Astyanax mexicanus: one gene and its partner. The protein of the gene in region 1 interacts with the protein of each later gene in a biochemical or structural test. Links are inferred from orthologs where the notes say so. Each region holds a gene or a part of one and is shown on either strand. Other genes may lie near its edges.

Region 1 (8,026 bases):
CTCTATAGCTCTCTCTCTCATCCTTCGTCTCTCACCTCTTGTTTACTGCCCTCTTTAGCTCTCTCTCTCTTATTCTTTAGCTGTCTCTCTTTCATCCTTTGTCTTCCAGCTCTCATTTACTGCTCTCTCTATAGCTCTCTCTCTCATCCTTCAGCTCTCTCTGTCTCTCTCTCTCTCTCTCTTTCTCTCATTTTTCATCTCCCAGCTCTCGTTTGCTGCTTTCTCTATAGCTCTCTCTCTCATTCTTCATCTACCAACTTTTATTTACTGTTTTCTCTCAGCTCTTGTTTACTGCTCTTTGTGTTTCTCTGTTTCTCATCTTTCATCTCTCAATTCTTCTTTTCTGCTCCTTTTCTCTTTCTCTCATCCTGTCTCTATCAGCTCTTTTTTACTTCTCTTTCACTTCTCTCATACTTCATCTCTCAGCTCTCGTTTCATCTCTTACATCTCATTTTCTAGCTCTCTTTTTCTCATCCTTCAGCTGTCTCGCTCTCTCTTACTTCCTGTCCCAGCTTTTTTTTTTACTGCTCGCCCTATAGCTCTCTCTCTCATCCTTCATTTATCAGCTCTCATTTACTGCTCTCTCTGTCATTTCTCATATCTTTTACTGCTCAGTCTTCCTTCATCTCTTAGCTGTTTTTACTGCTCTTCCTCTCTCATTTCTCATTTCCCAGCTCTCTTGCTCTCTCATTTTTCATTTCACGTTCTCTCTCTCGCGCTCATTTCTCTTCTCCCAGCTCTCTTTCTCTCTCTTTCTTGCTGTCCTTCTCTCATCCTTCACCTCTCTTTCTCTTTCTCTCCTGCTTTCATTTCTCATCTCCCAGCTCTCTTGCTCTCTCATTCCTTATCTATCTGTTTCTTGCTGTCTCTTTCTCATCCTTCGTCTCCCAATTCTTTATACCGATCTTTCTCTTTCTCTTCTGCTCTAATTTCTCATCTCACAACTGTCCTGCTCTCTCATTCATCTCTCTTTCTTGCTGTCTCATCCTTTATCTTTCAGCTCTCGTTTACTGCTCTTTCTCTTTAATGCTGTCTCTGTATTTTCATTCTTTATCTCCAAGCTCTCCATCTTACAGCTCCCCTTCTCTCTCTCACTCCACTCCCCCTTTCTCTCTTTCCTCTCATTGTCTTTCTCTCAGCTCTCTCTCTCTCTCTCTCTCTCTCTCTCTCTCTCTCTTAGTATATCTATCTTAGTTCTTTATCTCACTCTGTACAGGAACAAAGTGGAGTGAAATTCCATTTCATCAGGATCGTGGTGCAACAAGAACAAAAAAATCGTTACAAACGACATGAAATCAAACATTCAAACATATGCTAGAACAATACAATAAAAATATAAATACTATAAATACAGCAGACAGTGGGCACAGTAAACAGATGGGACAGTGCAGCGCAGACACAGCACTCTTTACTGAATGTGTGTGGTGAGGATAAGGTGTGGAGTTATGTAATGTGTTAAGACATAAATACATGCAGTCTGATTATAACATACTCTCACTGATATAAAAACAAAAAAACGCAGGTGTGGTCTGATTAGGCACTGGGTCTCGCCATGAGAGGATCTAAAATCTTTCACTTACTACCCTACAAAAAGGCTCTCAGAGGCTTCTTTTGGGTTGTGCACACAGGGACACACTGGCACAGCTGATGATGCAACGAGAGCTTTGTGCAGCATCTACAAGCCCAGCTGCAACATCTCAGAACCTGAATGCCTCCATGCCCAATCATATCTCATCTTGTATCCAGGCTAGATGTGGCCTGGTCTGTTGAGAAGTGTGATGGTCTGTGGGCAGAAGCTGTTACAATGCCTGTCAGTGATGGCTCAGATGCTCTTGTACCTTCTCTTAGATAGCACTAATAAAAAAAAGTGTAAATGATGGGTGGGGTGATCCACAAATCTGGTAGCAAATGCAGCACATGATATAAATATCCGTGATGGAGGAAAAAGATACCTGAATAATGTTATCAACTGTACTCACTATCAGCTGTAGGTTAGATGTTACTATTTCTAAACCAAACGGTCTTTTTGTTTCTTTCTTTTTCTCACTCAATGTCTCTTCATTCCACATCTATTCTCTCATTCTATGCCCAACTCAATATTCTCTCTTCTAGTTTCCTCCTCCATCTCTCTCTCTCTTCTTGTCTTCTATTTATTTTTTAACTCTTTTCCCCTGCATCCATTTTGCTCTCTCTTCCTCTATTTATTTCTTACTCTCTGATCTCTTTCTCCACTCTCTCACCCTGCTCAGTATCGTCTCTCCTTACCCACTTTCTCTCTCTTTTCTCTTATTAAATCCTGTTTAATTTTCTCCGTATCATTCTTTTCATTAATACTTTTCACCTGCCTCTATTCTGCTCTCCCTTCCTCCTTTTCTCACTCTTCCTCTGATCCCTTTCTTTGCTCTCTCTTTTCTTTGCCGTCTTTACTGCTCAGACTTGTCTCTCCTTACCCACTTTTCTTCTCTTTTCTCCTATTAAATCCTCTCTCTCTTTTCTCGTATTAAATTCTCTCTCTCTCTCTCTCTCTCTCTGAACCCTGTATATAGATTACATACTTCATAATGAAGCTTTATCTGCAGATTCCCACACTATGTGTGTTTCTCTCTATCTCTCTCTCTTTCTATCAGTGTTTTTCTGAAATGAGTTGTTAAAGCATTTTTACTGGCTTTAACCTGGAGCACTCTCTCTATTCTCTCTCTATACTCTCACTTCTCTTCTCCTCCTTTCTCACTTGTGTTTTTTGTCCTCTATCTTTCTGTTTTCTTTCTTTCTGTCACACTATCACAATCCTTTCTCATCTTTCCCTCTTTTTTATTCTCTTTCATCTTTCTGTCTCTTCTGCTGGTGATTCCTCTGCTGTTCTCCCTGTTTCTTTCTCTTCCTCACTCGCTCTCTCTTCAATCCATGTCTCTTATCCTTTTTTTCTCTCCTCTTTCTACTTTCTGTCCATCATTCTGTGTCCCACACAATGTTCCCTCTCGTTTTTTTCATCCTCCATCTCCTCTCTTTCTTTCTCTCTGTTTTCTGTCCTAATGTTCTTTTGTTACTGGTACAGTCTTCTCCTTGTCTTTAACTCTTTTCCTCTGCCTTCATTCTGCTCTTCCTTCCTGCTTTTCTTACTCTTTTTCTACTGTAATCACTTCATCCACTCCTTTGCTTTCTTCTCTACTCAGACTTGTTTCTCTTAACCTATTTTTCTTTCTTTTCTCATATTAAATACTCTCTCCTCCTTGTCTTCTCTTTTTCTTTAACTCTTTTCTGCCTCTATTCTGCTCTCCCTTCCACCTTTTTTCACTCTTTTCACCTCTGATCCCTTCTTCCACTCTCTCACTCCTTTGCTTTCTTCACTGCTCAGACTTGTTTTCTTAACCCATTTTCTCTCTTTTTTTCAAAATACATCTCTTTCTCTTTTTCTCTCTCCTTGTCTTCTCTTTCTCTTTTCCCTCTTTAACTCTTTCGCTCTCTTTTCTCATACTAAACCATTTCTCTCTCCTAAGTGTCTTCTCTTTCTCTTTAACTCTTTTCCAGTGCCTCTATTCTGCTCTCCCTTCCTTCTTATCTCACACTTTCTCTGATCCCTTTATCCACTCTTTCACTCATTTGTTTATTTAATAGGAGAAAACAGAGAGAAAATGGGTTGAGGAACAAGTCTGAGCAGTGAAAAAAGCTAAGGAGTAAGATAGTGGATGAAGTGATCAGAGGAAGAAAGAAAAAAGGTGGACGAGAGAGCACAATAGAGGCAGGGTTAAAGAGAGTTAAAGAGAAAGAGAAGACAAGGAGAGAAGATTTAATAAGAGAAAAGAGAGAGAAAATGGGTTGAGAATCAAGTCTGAGCAGTGAAGAAAGCAAATGAGTGAAAGAGTGGATAAAGGGATCCTATTAAATAAACTCTCTCTCTATCTCTCCTTCTTCTTTAACTCTTTCTCCCTCTTTTCTCACATTAAATCCCCTCTCTCTCTCTTTCTCTCTTTTTTTGAACCCTCCATATTAATTAGACTTGAATTCATAATGAGGCTTCATCTGCAGATTCCCACAGTGTGTAGGTGTGTGAGTGTGAGTATGTGTGTGAGGGTATGTTTCTCTTTATTTCTCTTTATTTCTGTCTGTTTCTATCAGTGTTCTCTGGAATGAATTGTAAAAGCATTTATTCTGCCTTCTCGCTCAGCCTGGGCGTGGAGCGCATCCAGCCTGCTGCACTCTCTCTCTATCTCTTTCTTTCTCTCTCTCTCTCTCTTTCTCTCAGCTCTGTGAGAGACAACATTTCCCCTCCACAGCCTGGAGTCTCAACTCCATAAAACATCAAAGACAGAGAGAAGAAGCGAGCGAGAAAAGAGAGAGAGAAAGAGAGGGAGCTTTGCCTTGCATTGAAGCTCTGGCAGAGTGGATACAGAGAAAGATAGAGAAAGAGTGCAAGGGAGGAAGAGAGGGAGGCAGGGAGAGAAAGAGAGAGAGGACTGGAGGAGGAGGAGGAGGAGGAGGAAGAAGAGGAGGGGCGGGCAGGCGGGAGAGTGAGCGAGCGAGCGAGCGATAGAGGGAGCGAACGGATGAGAGGAGAGCCGAAGCAGCCAACCAGCTTAGAGAGACTGAGAGATCAGGGCTGTTTGAACGATTGAGAGAGAGAGAGAGGGAGGGAAGGAGGGGAGGAGAGAGAGAGCGAGCGTGCGAGAGAGAGAGAGAGAGATAGAAGTGTTACTATAGCCACGGCCACTGGATCGCTGACCGCCAGTGGAGGATAATATCCATCCCTCGCTCTCTGGACTGTCACTAAGATGTAATTTGCAGAGCTCCCATTGTTGCCGCGGCGACTTCCTTTCATCCATTTCCTTTTTCCTCCCTTCCCTTCTTTTTTTTGTTTTATCTGTTCTCCAGTCTCTCTCCACTCTCTCTTTTAGTGTCTCTCTACCTTTTTTATTTTTCTTCCTTTTTTTTCCTGCTGCTGCTGCCGGATTTTTTTTTTCTGTCCTTCGCCTTGTGCTGTCTCTCGGAAAGGAGGGATTTGTGAACATAGACGATTCTCTGCTGCAGCAAGACAGTAAGTAAGCTTGGCTGTATTGCAGCGAGTGTGTGAATGTGTGTGTGTGTGAGAGAGAGAGAGAGAGAGAGAGAGAGAGAGAGAGATGTACACACACACGAAAATGTGGCTGGAAGTGTGTGGACTCAAGCATTGAAAGCATCAAGATATTGAAAGGGAGGAAACCGGTCGAGGCTCTTGAAAGTGGCTGCAGAAACCTGATTGGTCTTTGAGTACTTCCCCTGTTTCTCTTGGTGTGTGTGTGTGTGTGTGTTTTGCCTCTGCAGAGCAGCAGGTGAGCTGAACACACATGTGGAGAGTGTTTTACTGTACAGATGTACAGATGTTTACCTTTGAACCCAAAGAAGAAGGGATGCTCACAGATCTTCAATTAACTAGGTGGAAAGATGCACAAGCAATGGGTGTGTGTATCTGGTCTCTGTATGTGTGAGTGTAAAATGGTGGTACACACACACACACAAGCTTACACATACACATACACACACAGGAAAGCAGGAAGAAGGAGAGAGAGAAAGAGAGAGAGAGAGATGCAGTCTCTTCTGTCACTCTTGCGAACGCACTCCCACCCAACCACACACTGGCAAGCGTGTAGACTCACTCACCCAGCAACACCCACTGACTGATCTATTAGCACGGCAGCCCTCACACACACACACACACACACACATGCTCAAATACATTCCACCAGTCTGCCTCACACACACTCTGATCCACTCCAACAGCTTCAACTTCTACACTATACAGTGCGTCCACATATTTCTGGACACGCCTTCTAACAAATGCATTCAGCTACTCCAACTAATGAAAGTTACCCAGGTGTGGAGGAGATACACATGAACCCGTTAGCGCCATGCCTAATGCCAGGTGTAGGCTAAAGGGGTGTAGAAAAAGCTGCCTAGCTTCCTTGAGATAATGATGGTGCTTCGCCCAATACAGTACTGTTGGGATGAGTTGGGTTGAGGGGGGATAAGCTGTGGTTAGAGATGAGGCTCTGAACATCGCTCTGAACATCGCTGAAAGCAATCAGATCCTCAAACAGCAATTCCTCAAAATTTAGTAAAAAAGGCAAAAGTCTTCTATGTACAGTAATAGACTCAATTACTACTCAATTACTCGATTAATACCCATGATTTTAGAAAGAAAAAAAAAGACAATGAACAATGAGCCGGTTTCCACATAGTTTTGTACTTTTTTGTATAGTGTGATGCATGGCTAATTGTTTTGAATTGTGTCTTGCATTATTACTTCAGCATGAAAGGGCGGGGCTAAATTACATTTGCATGTCCTATTAATTGGGAGGAGAATGACGAGAGGGAAGAGAATGCAGTACTTTGGTCTGGAATTCAGGCAGCTTATGCTTGTTGTAGGAAGCCAGTCCCCACCTCTAATAAGTGGAGTTGAGTCAGGAAGGAGAGATAACTAAGAGTTAATGGGAGGAGATGGAGGGTTTTGAGGACTTGCCATGATCATGTAAGCAAGTATTGTGTATTTATAGGATGCTAGATTGGGAAACTGAGTAGATAGATTAAAAAGTCTTGTAAAAAAAATTGGACCAACACCAGCAGATGACATGTCTCTCCAAACCATCACTGATTGTGGAAACTTCACACTAGACCTCAAGCAGTTTGGACTGTGTGTCTCTCCACTCTTCCTCCAGACTCTGCTTCCTTGATTTACGAATGAAATGTAAAATTTACTGATGATCAGTGATGGTTTGGAGAGGCATGTCATCTGCTGGTGTTGGTCCACTGTGTTCTATCAAGTCCATCAAGTCAGTGCAGCGTTTTACCGGAAAATGTTTTAGCACTTCATGCTTCCTACTGCTGACAACTTTTATGGAGAAAAGATGGCAACCTGTGGAGAATGATTGGTGAGTGAGAGATGAGGACATGCCCAATATGCAAATAGTGTGACCAACACTCAACACTCGTTCAACTAAAGAGTCAAAATGAGCAGGTGCAATGTACTTGGTCTGGCCTCAACAAGGGTTTAAATACAATTTGTTAATTTTGCCAACACATGTGATTTTAGTCAGAAGAAATAAAATCACATCAAGAAAAACAATTTTAAGAGAGGTCTCCAACAATCCTAAAGTTCCATACATGGGACCTACAGGTAGCTAATGCCACATTTGATGGCAAAGCACAGCATCTACCACCTGAACGAGGGCAATGAAAGCTATTCCATCTAAGTGGAACCAACAGAAGAGCAGATTTTTGAAGATTACAGAATGAATACATAAGAACACACAGTGCAGACCAGTCAGATTGCCCATGATAGGCCCTACTGTCCAGACACACATATGTCTGAATTGGATCTGGATGATGAGTTACACAGGCACCACTTACCTGCAGGAGGTGCTGGATGCACATCAGATCTGTAGTTGATCCACTTTACAACTTCTAGGATTGTAATGTCTTGGTGCCAGATACCACAGTACACACTGAGCTGTTTTAGTAGCAAGCAGTTGACCATTGACAATATATGGCAGTGCCAATGGTTCATATATTAGGCAGCAAGTGAACAATCAGTTCTAGAATGAGTCCTGAGATAGAATGCAAAATTAGATATTGAATATAATAATTAAAAAGTTAGGTTGTCAGCTCACGTCTTGTAGAATTAAGATCCTGCTCTGTATGGATGGCAGATAGAAGGTGGAGCTTACCTCTTAGGCGGATCATCCACGAGGCATTGGGTGGATAAAGAAAGGAGGGAAAATGAAATTTTGCATCTAAAAGCAGCAGAAAGAATGTGTAAGTCATATTTTTTTTAGCCAGATGGAAGCTGGTGATTGGTTGGGGAATCAATTACGTAGCATTGAAGTCTCCTGGTAGCAGCAACTCAGCTCTGATACATCAGCTCACAGACGCCTCGTGCTGATCTACATCACCCTTTCGAGTGATGTGAGGAGAGAGCGCCATCAACTCACCCAGAGAGAGCAAGGCCAATTGTGCTCTCTCAGGGCTCCAGCAGCTGATGGCAAGCTGCATGATC
Region 2 (8,031 bases), on another chromosome or scaffold:
CTCACGTTACTGTAATTGAGTAGATTTTGAGTAATATGTCATTTTTAAAGTAGTTTATAAAATAGGTAATTTTACTTTTACTCAAGTACATTTTGACACAAGTTATTTACTTTGCTACATTGAAAAAAACTCCCCGTTACTGAGTAAAAAAACAATTGTCTGAATGAAAAAAAATGGCGCAGATCAACATTTTTTTTGTATGATTTCCTGTTTTTAATGATGATTCCTTAAATTTTTATTGGGAACAATAAACAATTTGTGAACAAAAAAACATGTAAATAGCAGATAAAGCTAAGTAAGAAAAATAATAATAATAATAATGAACTGTAAAACTATAAAACTATAAAAATACAGTTTATAGTCTCCTATATGACCATAACCTTTTAACAGTTAAAAAATTGGATCATAGAAACCTATACCACTTGTTCTTGAAAATGTTTTATGGGGTGGTCTGAACAAATACTGCCTGAAAGGTCCAAATTATTATGTGGAATTAATAGTTCATTAAAACCGATTTAATTTATTATTTGTTGTACTTTTTTACATCACATACTTAAAAGTAACTATGTAACTTTTACTCAAAGTACCTTTTTAAATTGAGTACCTTTTTACTTTTACTTGAGTAGAAGTTTAGCAAAGTAAATGTACTTTTACTTAATTACAATTCTTCAGTACTTTTTCACCTCTGATAATGCACAGTATTGATCTTTTGTCCTAATACTGTATACTTTTAAAGCCGCTTTGTTACAGTGTTAGTTGTAAACACAAATAAATGCTATATAAATCTATTTGATCTGATTCTATCTGACATGCCTACCTGACCAGAAATCAGCAAGAAACTACAACAACACCAAAGGACAAAAGAACGTTAAGGTAGTTTCATTCAACTTAGAAACTCACCAAACTGAACCCACCAGCTGCCTTACTGCAGTGATAGAGGCTTTGAGTGAAACTTCTACCAGATTTAATAGTTTACTGTTTCATGAAAAAACAGTCTCCAGTCTCATGAGAACTGGAAATCGGAAATCACGTCATCGGAAATAATCGGAATTTGAGGTCCTTAGGTTGTTGCGTGGGCACACCACAGATCTTCAATCAAACTTATAGCTGACATGAGTGTATATTATTTATTACTACTGTTTCAATCCTAAACATCACCCATCATTCTCCCCTGGAGAAAGAAGGGGAGATTTGGGGCAACTGTGTTAACAACACTAGTGAAACCTAAATGTGGAACAGCTGACTATGTGTGGCAAATTACAATGCAAAGTAAATCACAGTACAGCACTTCTGAGCTTTTCAGTTGCCAGCAATGGTTAGATGACAAAATCAACAATGTTGATTATAAGAATTTCACATTTCAAATCTCAACTAATTTGTAACAAATGCACTATACAAAATACTGGGGACAGGAACACAAAAACACGGGGAGGTTAAGTGCTGCTCACTCACTTGGTTCACACTTAGTTTAGTCACCAAAAGTGACTTAACACAACAGATTACATACATAGTGAGTAAACATCAAAACTTTTCATCTTTAAACATCATCTGAACATTTAAAGAGCATCTAAATCCCACATTCAGCGGTTTCTATTGTTTTGAAGTGATAGAGAAAGCAAGGAACAGGAGCCGTACCCACAGGAAGCAGAGATGAATGGGGCAGCAGAAATAATCGTTTACTATTTGAGTAATCTGAAAAATAATTGACTGATTATTCAACCACTAAAATAATCATTAGTTGTAACCCTATTAACCACAAAAGTGAGGCAGACCTAAATGGAACAGGTCTTCTACATGTGGCAGCAGCAAGGATGGTCAAATTACATTTTAGTTATGAAGTAAATCACTGTAAATCACTGTACAGTTCTCCTGAGGTTTTGTTTTTAGGCCCCACAGGTTGCCAAATCTCTCCCCCCCTAAGCTGCTAGAACTCATTAAGCTGTTGCTAAGGCTCAAGTTTCCAATCACACAACAGTAGCCAGATAGCAAAAGTATGCTGAATCAACGTTCATATTTCAATTTTATTTCAGATAGACTTGCTTCTATCTTAAATGTGGCAGTGATTTTTTTACGAATCTAAAGGAAACAATAGCTTTCTTTTGTGTCACCTTACATGGTGCTGCCTGTTTACAAACAAAAAAACTAAATTATCTAAGAACTTTTTTTTTTACAATATCACCCAGCCCTAATTCAACGTTATGATTCTAAATCTGTTGTTCGTGTTAAACTTTACTTAAATCTACACTGCAGAGCAGAAAGGGACATTTTGCCTAAATGCATTTAACACTGGGCTAATTGTGAGTGTAGAAGAGCTCAGCCCAAACCCTACAAAACTTTAGCTGTTAAAATGAACGTTCCCTCAACGTCAGAATTCCAACACTACCCAACCTGTTGTTGAAGCCTATGGTGCAAACGTAAACAAAAGGTTGTTTTAATGTTGTTTTTCCATCATCAGCACTAGAAGTTGAGATGCGAACGTTTTTACTAAACGTTCTTTGTGTTTAAGTCTGAAATTACTTGAGATAAAATACTTTTCTATTATTTTTACTGCTGAAGTGTAGAAAGGTGCATTTAAGTAGCAACAATTATATTATTAATAGTAGCTTAGTGTGAGTGTAGAAAAACTAGCTAACCTATTGATGATGTTGAATAAACCTATTGATGAAAGTTAAATAAAGTTTGTTTAAATGTAGTTATCCATGATCAACTCATCAAGCTGTAATGCAAACAAAGATTTAACGTCTATTTAACGTTCTTTGCCTATCAGTTAAGCTGTACTTACTTGAGAAAGTATTTCTGGCCGTTGGAAGTGAAGGCCATCTCCCAGCCGGGGGGCAGGGGCAGCTCCTCGGTCACATCGAAGGACTGGTGGCGGATGTGGACGTGGTGCGCAGAGGGCGGGACCGCTCCGGTCCCCGTGCCCGGGCCGAGCTGCAGGCTGGCCGGGGAGGAGTGCGAGCGGACGTGCTGCACCGGCAGCCGCGCCGGCCCGCTGCCCGAGTCCGTGCTGGACTGTCGGGAGTGGGAGCCCGAGTCCGGCTCCCTGAAGAAGGACTCGGGCATGTGTTTCTTCCTCCAGGAGCTCGGCCTCGGGTTCATGACCGCGTTAAACAGCGCCTCCAGGTCCGTGTCCGGGTCCTTCGCCACATGGATGACCTGCTGGCCCGGCAGGGGCTGCACCGGGTTGTTGCTCATTTCGCTCGGCGGAACAGAAAAGTTGGGACGGGGGGAACCAAGAAGTGCTGGAGCTCTCTCCTCAAAAACACGACCCGCGCTCTCCCCAGCGGCTAAGCGCTGCTGTGATTTTCTGTCTTTAGTGTAAAAAAGTTTTAACTCAAAACAAAAACACAATAAAACAGTTTTAAATGAGAGTTTGAAGGTTATCCGGCCCGGTCCTCCTGCCCCGCTGTCCCGCTGCTGCTGCTGCTGCTGGAGAATCCGCTCGGTGGAAAGTTTGGAAACTCGAACTTTTTCCTCCCCCCGCGCGCGCGCGCCTGTCAGCTCGCGCTCATGAATATTAATCAGGCCACGCCCGGAATATTAACCACGCGCTTTAAGTCGCTCCAAATCTATTTAGTAACAGAAGGATTAATGAAGTCTAGACTGAAGAGTGTTAGTGTAAGTATATTGTATAAACTTTCTAAGCGTGTAATAAAAAAGTCTGAATAGCCCCAAGCCAACTGCCAAACCTACACCAGTGTCTAGTGAAGAAAATCTGAACAATTTAGACTAAATATTTATTATCTACAGCTAATATAAATGTACTCAAAACAAAAATACAACCATTACAACCAGTACGACACAAAAAACACTGAAAAGATATGTTTTAAGTATTATAAAGATTAACATTGGTAAATAAAAAGGTATAGTAAAAAGAAGATGAATGCATTTGAAACATAAACGAAAAAGTATATTATATTGTTATATAAGTATATTATATATATATTGACAACAGAACAATGTATGACATGACTTGCAGTCAGTGCAGAGGATCCCTTTTACTTGCCGAAGTTTCACCTAGTTTTTTACATAAAAGTAATAATCAGTTTTTAGCACTAGTAGAACTAGAGGGCAACGAGGGTTTTAAAAACATATCGGAAAACATGCCTTATTTGCTGCCCTCTATTGCGTCCTCACGTGTCCTAAAGGATTCGGTGATGTACCAGCCTGAACAGAAGAGCAGAAATCCGCTTCTCTCTGTCTGAAGATGTTATTCTGCCACCTTGTGCTCAGAAATGATGTTCTCAGATCTTCTGTTCCTCCTTAATTTCAGTCAGGTGGTAGATTATGTGACTGTGTATAAAAGTGTAGAATATTGATCTACTGTTTCAGAAAATAAGCACATATAAGACCAATTTTCTTATAATAAAATTCAAATTTTCGCAAAGACCTTTATTTTATACCCCACTGGATGTAAAATTAACAATGGTAATTAATTAATTCGTTAATAAAACTATACAAAATTAATAAAATGAGTAGTAATCAATTGTATTTTTAATTAAACAGTACGAAACTTATTTTTTCTGTCCTAAATAAAAATAATAGTATTGTTTATAATGAAATGTTTAATTAAAACTATTTATTTATATAAAATGTTATTCATTAATTATTATTAAATATTATTATTCAAAATAAATCAAACATTGAATACTAAATAATAACACTAATTCAACAAAGGAGCAAAAAAAAATAAGTTGTTGTTAGGACATTTTAGTGACATTTATAGTAGATCTGTATAGACAAACAGTGCATTAGTAGGTTGTGGGGTTTAATAACAGATAGATGGTACTGTGCTGGTTAGATTAGTAGGTTCTGGGGTTTGATAACAGATGGATTGTTCTGTGCTGGTTAGATTAGTAGGTTCTGGGGTTTAATAACAGATGGATGGAGCTGTGCTGGTTAGATTAGTAGGTTGTGGGGTTTAATAACAGATGGATGGTGCTGTGCTGGTTAGATTAGTAGGTTGTGGGGTTTGATAACAGATGGATGGAGCTGTGCTGGTTAGATTAGTAGATTCTGGGGTTTGATAACAGATGGATGGTGCTGTGCTGGTTAGATTAGTAGATTCTGGGGTTTAATAACAGATGGATGGAGCTGTGCTGGTTAGATTAATAGGTTGTGGGGTTTAATAACAGATGGATGGTGCTGTGCTGGTTAGATTAGTAGGTTGTGGGGTTTAATAACAGATGGATGGTGCTCTGCTGGTTAGATTAGTAGGTTGTGGGGTTTAATAACAGATGGATGGAGCTGTGCTGGTTATATTAGTAGGTTCTGGGGTTTAATAACAGATGGATTGTTCTGTGCTGGTTAGATTAGTAGGTTCTGGGGTTTGATAACAGATGGATGGTGCTGTGCTGGTTAGATTAGTAGGTTCTGGGGTTTGATAACAGATGGATGGAGCTGTGCTGGTTAGATTAGTAGGTTCTGGGGTTTGATAACAAATGGATGGAGATGTGCTGGTTAGATTAGTAGGTTCTGGGGTTTGATAACAAATGGATGGAGCTATGCTGATTAGATTAGTAGGTTCTGGGGTTTGATAACAAATGGATGGAGATGTGCTGGTTAGATTAGTAGTTTCTGGGGTTTGATAAAAGATGGATGGAGCTATGCTGGTTAGATTAGTAGGTTCTGGGGTTTGATAACAGATGGATGGTGCTGTGCTGGTTAGATGAGTAGGTTCTGAGGTTTAATAACAGATGGATGGAGCTGTGCTGGTTAGATTAGTAGGTTGTGGGGTTTAATAACAGATGGATGGAGCTGTGCTGGTTAGATTAGTAGATTCTGGGGTTTAATAACAGATGGATGGAGCTGTGCTGGTTAGATTAGTAGGTTGTGGGGTTTAATAACAGATGGATGGTGCTGTGCTGGTTAGATTAGTAGATTCTGGGGTTTAATAACAGATGGATGGTGCTGTGCTGGTTAGATTAGTAGATTCTGGGGTTTAATAACAGATGGATGGAGCTGTGCTGGTTAGATTAGTAGGTTGTGGGGTTTGATAACAGATGGATGGAGCTGTGCTGGTTAGATTAGTAGATTCTGGGGTTTGATAACAGATGGATGGTGCTGTGCTGGTTAGATTAGTAGATTCTGGGGTTTAATAACAGATAGATGGTACTGTGCTGGTTAGATTAGTAGGTGCTGGGGGTTGATAACAGATGGATGGAGCTGTGCTGGTTAGATTAGTAGGTTCTGGGGGTTGATAACAGATGGATGGAGCTGTGCTGGTTAGATTAGTAGGTTCTGGGGGTTGATAACAGATGGATGGAGCTGTGCTGGTTAGATTAGTAGGTTCTGGGGGTTGATAACAGATGGATGGAGCTGTGCTGGTTAGATTAGTAGGTTCTGGGGGTTGATAACAGATGGATGGAGCTGTGCTGGTTAGATTAGTAGGTTCTGGGGTTTGATAACAGATGGATGGAGCTGTGCTGGTTAGATTAGTAGGTTCTGGGGTTTGATAACAGATGGATGGAGCTGTGCTGGTTAGATTAGTAGGTTGTGGGGTTTGATAACAGATGGATGGTGCTGTACTGGTTAGATTAGTAGGTTGTGGGGTTTAATAACAGATGGATGGTGCTGTGCTGGTTAGATTAATAGGTTCTGGGGTTTGATAACAGATGGATTGTTCTGTGCTGGTTAGATTAGTAGGTTCTGGGGTTTAATAACAGATGGATGGAGCTGTGCTGGTTAGATTAGTAGGTTGTGGGGTTTAATAACAGATGGATGGTGCTGTGCTGGTTAGATTAGTAGGTTGTGGGGTTTGATAACAGATGGATGGAGCTGTGCTGGTTAGATTAGTAGATTCTGGGGTTTGATAACAGATGGATGGTGCTGTGCTGGTTAGATTAGTAGATTCTGGGGTTTAATAACAGATGGATGGAGCTGTGCTGGTTAGATTAATAGGTTGTGGGGTTTAATAACAGATGGATGGTGCTGTGCTGGTTAGATTAGTAGGTTGTGGGGTTTAATAACAGATGGATGGTGCTGTGCTGGTTAGATTAGTAGGTTGTGGGGTTTAATAACAGATGGATGGAGCTGTGCTGGTTATATTAGTAGGTTCTGGGGTTTAATAACAGATGGATTGTTCTGTGCTGGTTAGATTAGTAGGTTCTGGGGTTTGATAACAGATGGATGGTGCTGTGCTGGTTAGATTAGTAGGTTCTGGGGTTTGATAACAGATGGATGGAGCTGTGCTGGTTAGATTAGTAGGTTCTGGGGTTTGATAACAAATGGATGGAGATGTGCTGGTTAGATTAGTAGGTTCTGGGGTTTGATAACAAATGGATGGAGCTATGCTGATTAGATTAGTAGGTTCTGGGGTTTGATAACAAATGGATGGAGATGTGCTGGTTAGATTAGTAGTTTCTGGGGTTTGATAAAAGATGGATGGAGCTATGCTGGTTAGATTAGTAGGTTCTGGGGTTTGATAACAGATGGATGGTGCTGTGCTGGTTAGATGAGTAGGTTCTGAGGTTTAATAACAGATGGATGGAGCTGTGCTGGTTAGATTAGTAGGTTGTGGGGTTTAATAACAGATGGATGGAGCTGTGCTGGTTAGATTAGTAGATTCTGGGGTTTAATAACAGATGGATGGAGCTGTGCTGGTTAGATTAGTAGGTTGTGGGGTTTAATAACAGATGGATGGTGCTGTGCTGGTTAGATTAGTAGATTCTGGGGTTTAATAACAGATGGATGGTGCTGTGCTGGTTAGATTAGTAGATTCTGGGGTTTAATAACAGATGGATGGAGCTGTGCTGGTTAGATTAGTAGGTTGTGGGGTTTGATAACAGATGGATGGAGCTGTGCTGGTTAGATTAGTAGATTCTGGGGTTTGATAACAGATGGATGGTGCTGTGCTGGTTAGATTAGTAGATTCTGGGGTTTAATAACAGATAGATGGTACTGTGCTGGTTAGATTAGTAGGTGCTGGGGGTTGATAACAGATGGATGGAGCTGTGCTGGTTAGATTAGTAGGTTCTGGGGGTTGATAACAGATGGATGGAGCTGTGCTGGTTAGATTAGTAGGTTCTGGGG

What was found. The genes of interacting proteins can lie anywhere in the genome.
Region 2: the proteins of shank1 (region 1) and wwtr1 interact in a test that uses a peptide from one of them, tested with the Homo sapiens proteins (2 studies listed by IntAct, with this or other methods). The link is inferred for Astyanax mexicanus from reciprocal best matches to the Homo sapiens genes SHANK1 and WWTR1.

What each region holds. Positions count from the first base shown.
Region 1 is NC_064426.1:18,967,807-18,975,832, reverse strand, and holds the start of shank1 (SH3 and multiple ankyrin repeat domains protein 1), read left to right. Parts: upstream 1-4,652; 5' UTR 4,653-5,032; intron 5,033-8,026. UniProt on the Homo sapiens protein: Seems to be an adapter protein in the postsynaptic density (PSD) of excitatory synapses that interconnects receptors of the postsynaptic membrane including NMDA-type and metabotropic glutamate receptors via complexes with GKAP/PSD-95 and Homer, respectively, and the actin-based cytoskeleton.
Region 2 is NC_064423.1:915,351-923,381, forward strand, and holds the start of wwtr1 (WW domain-containing transcription regulator protein 1), read right to left. Parts: upstream 3,463-8,031; 5' UTR 3,196-3,462; coding exon 2,783-3,195; intron 1-2,782. UniProt on the Homo sapiens protein: Transcriptional coactivator which acts as a downstream regulatory target in the Hippo signaling pathway that plays a pivotal role in organ size control and tumor suppression by restricting proliferation and promoting apoptosis.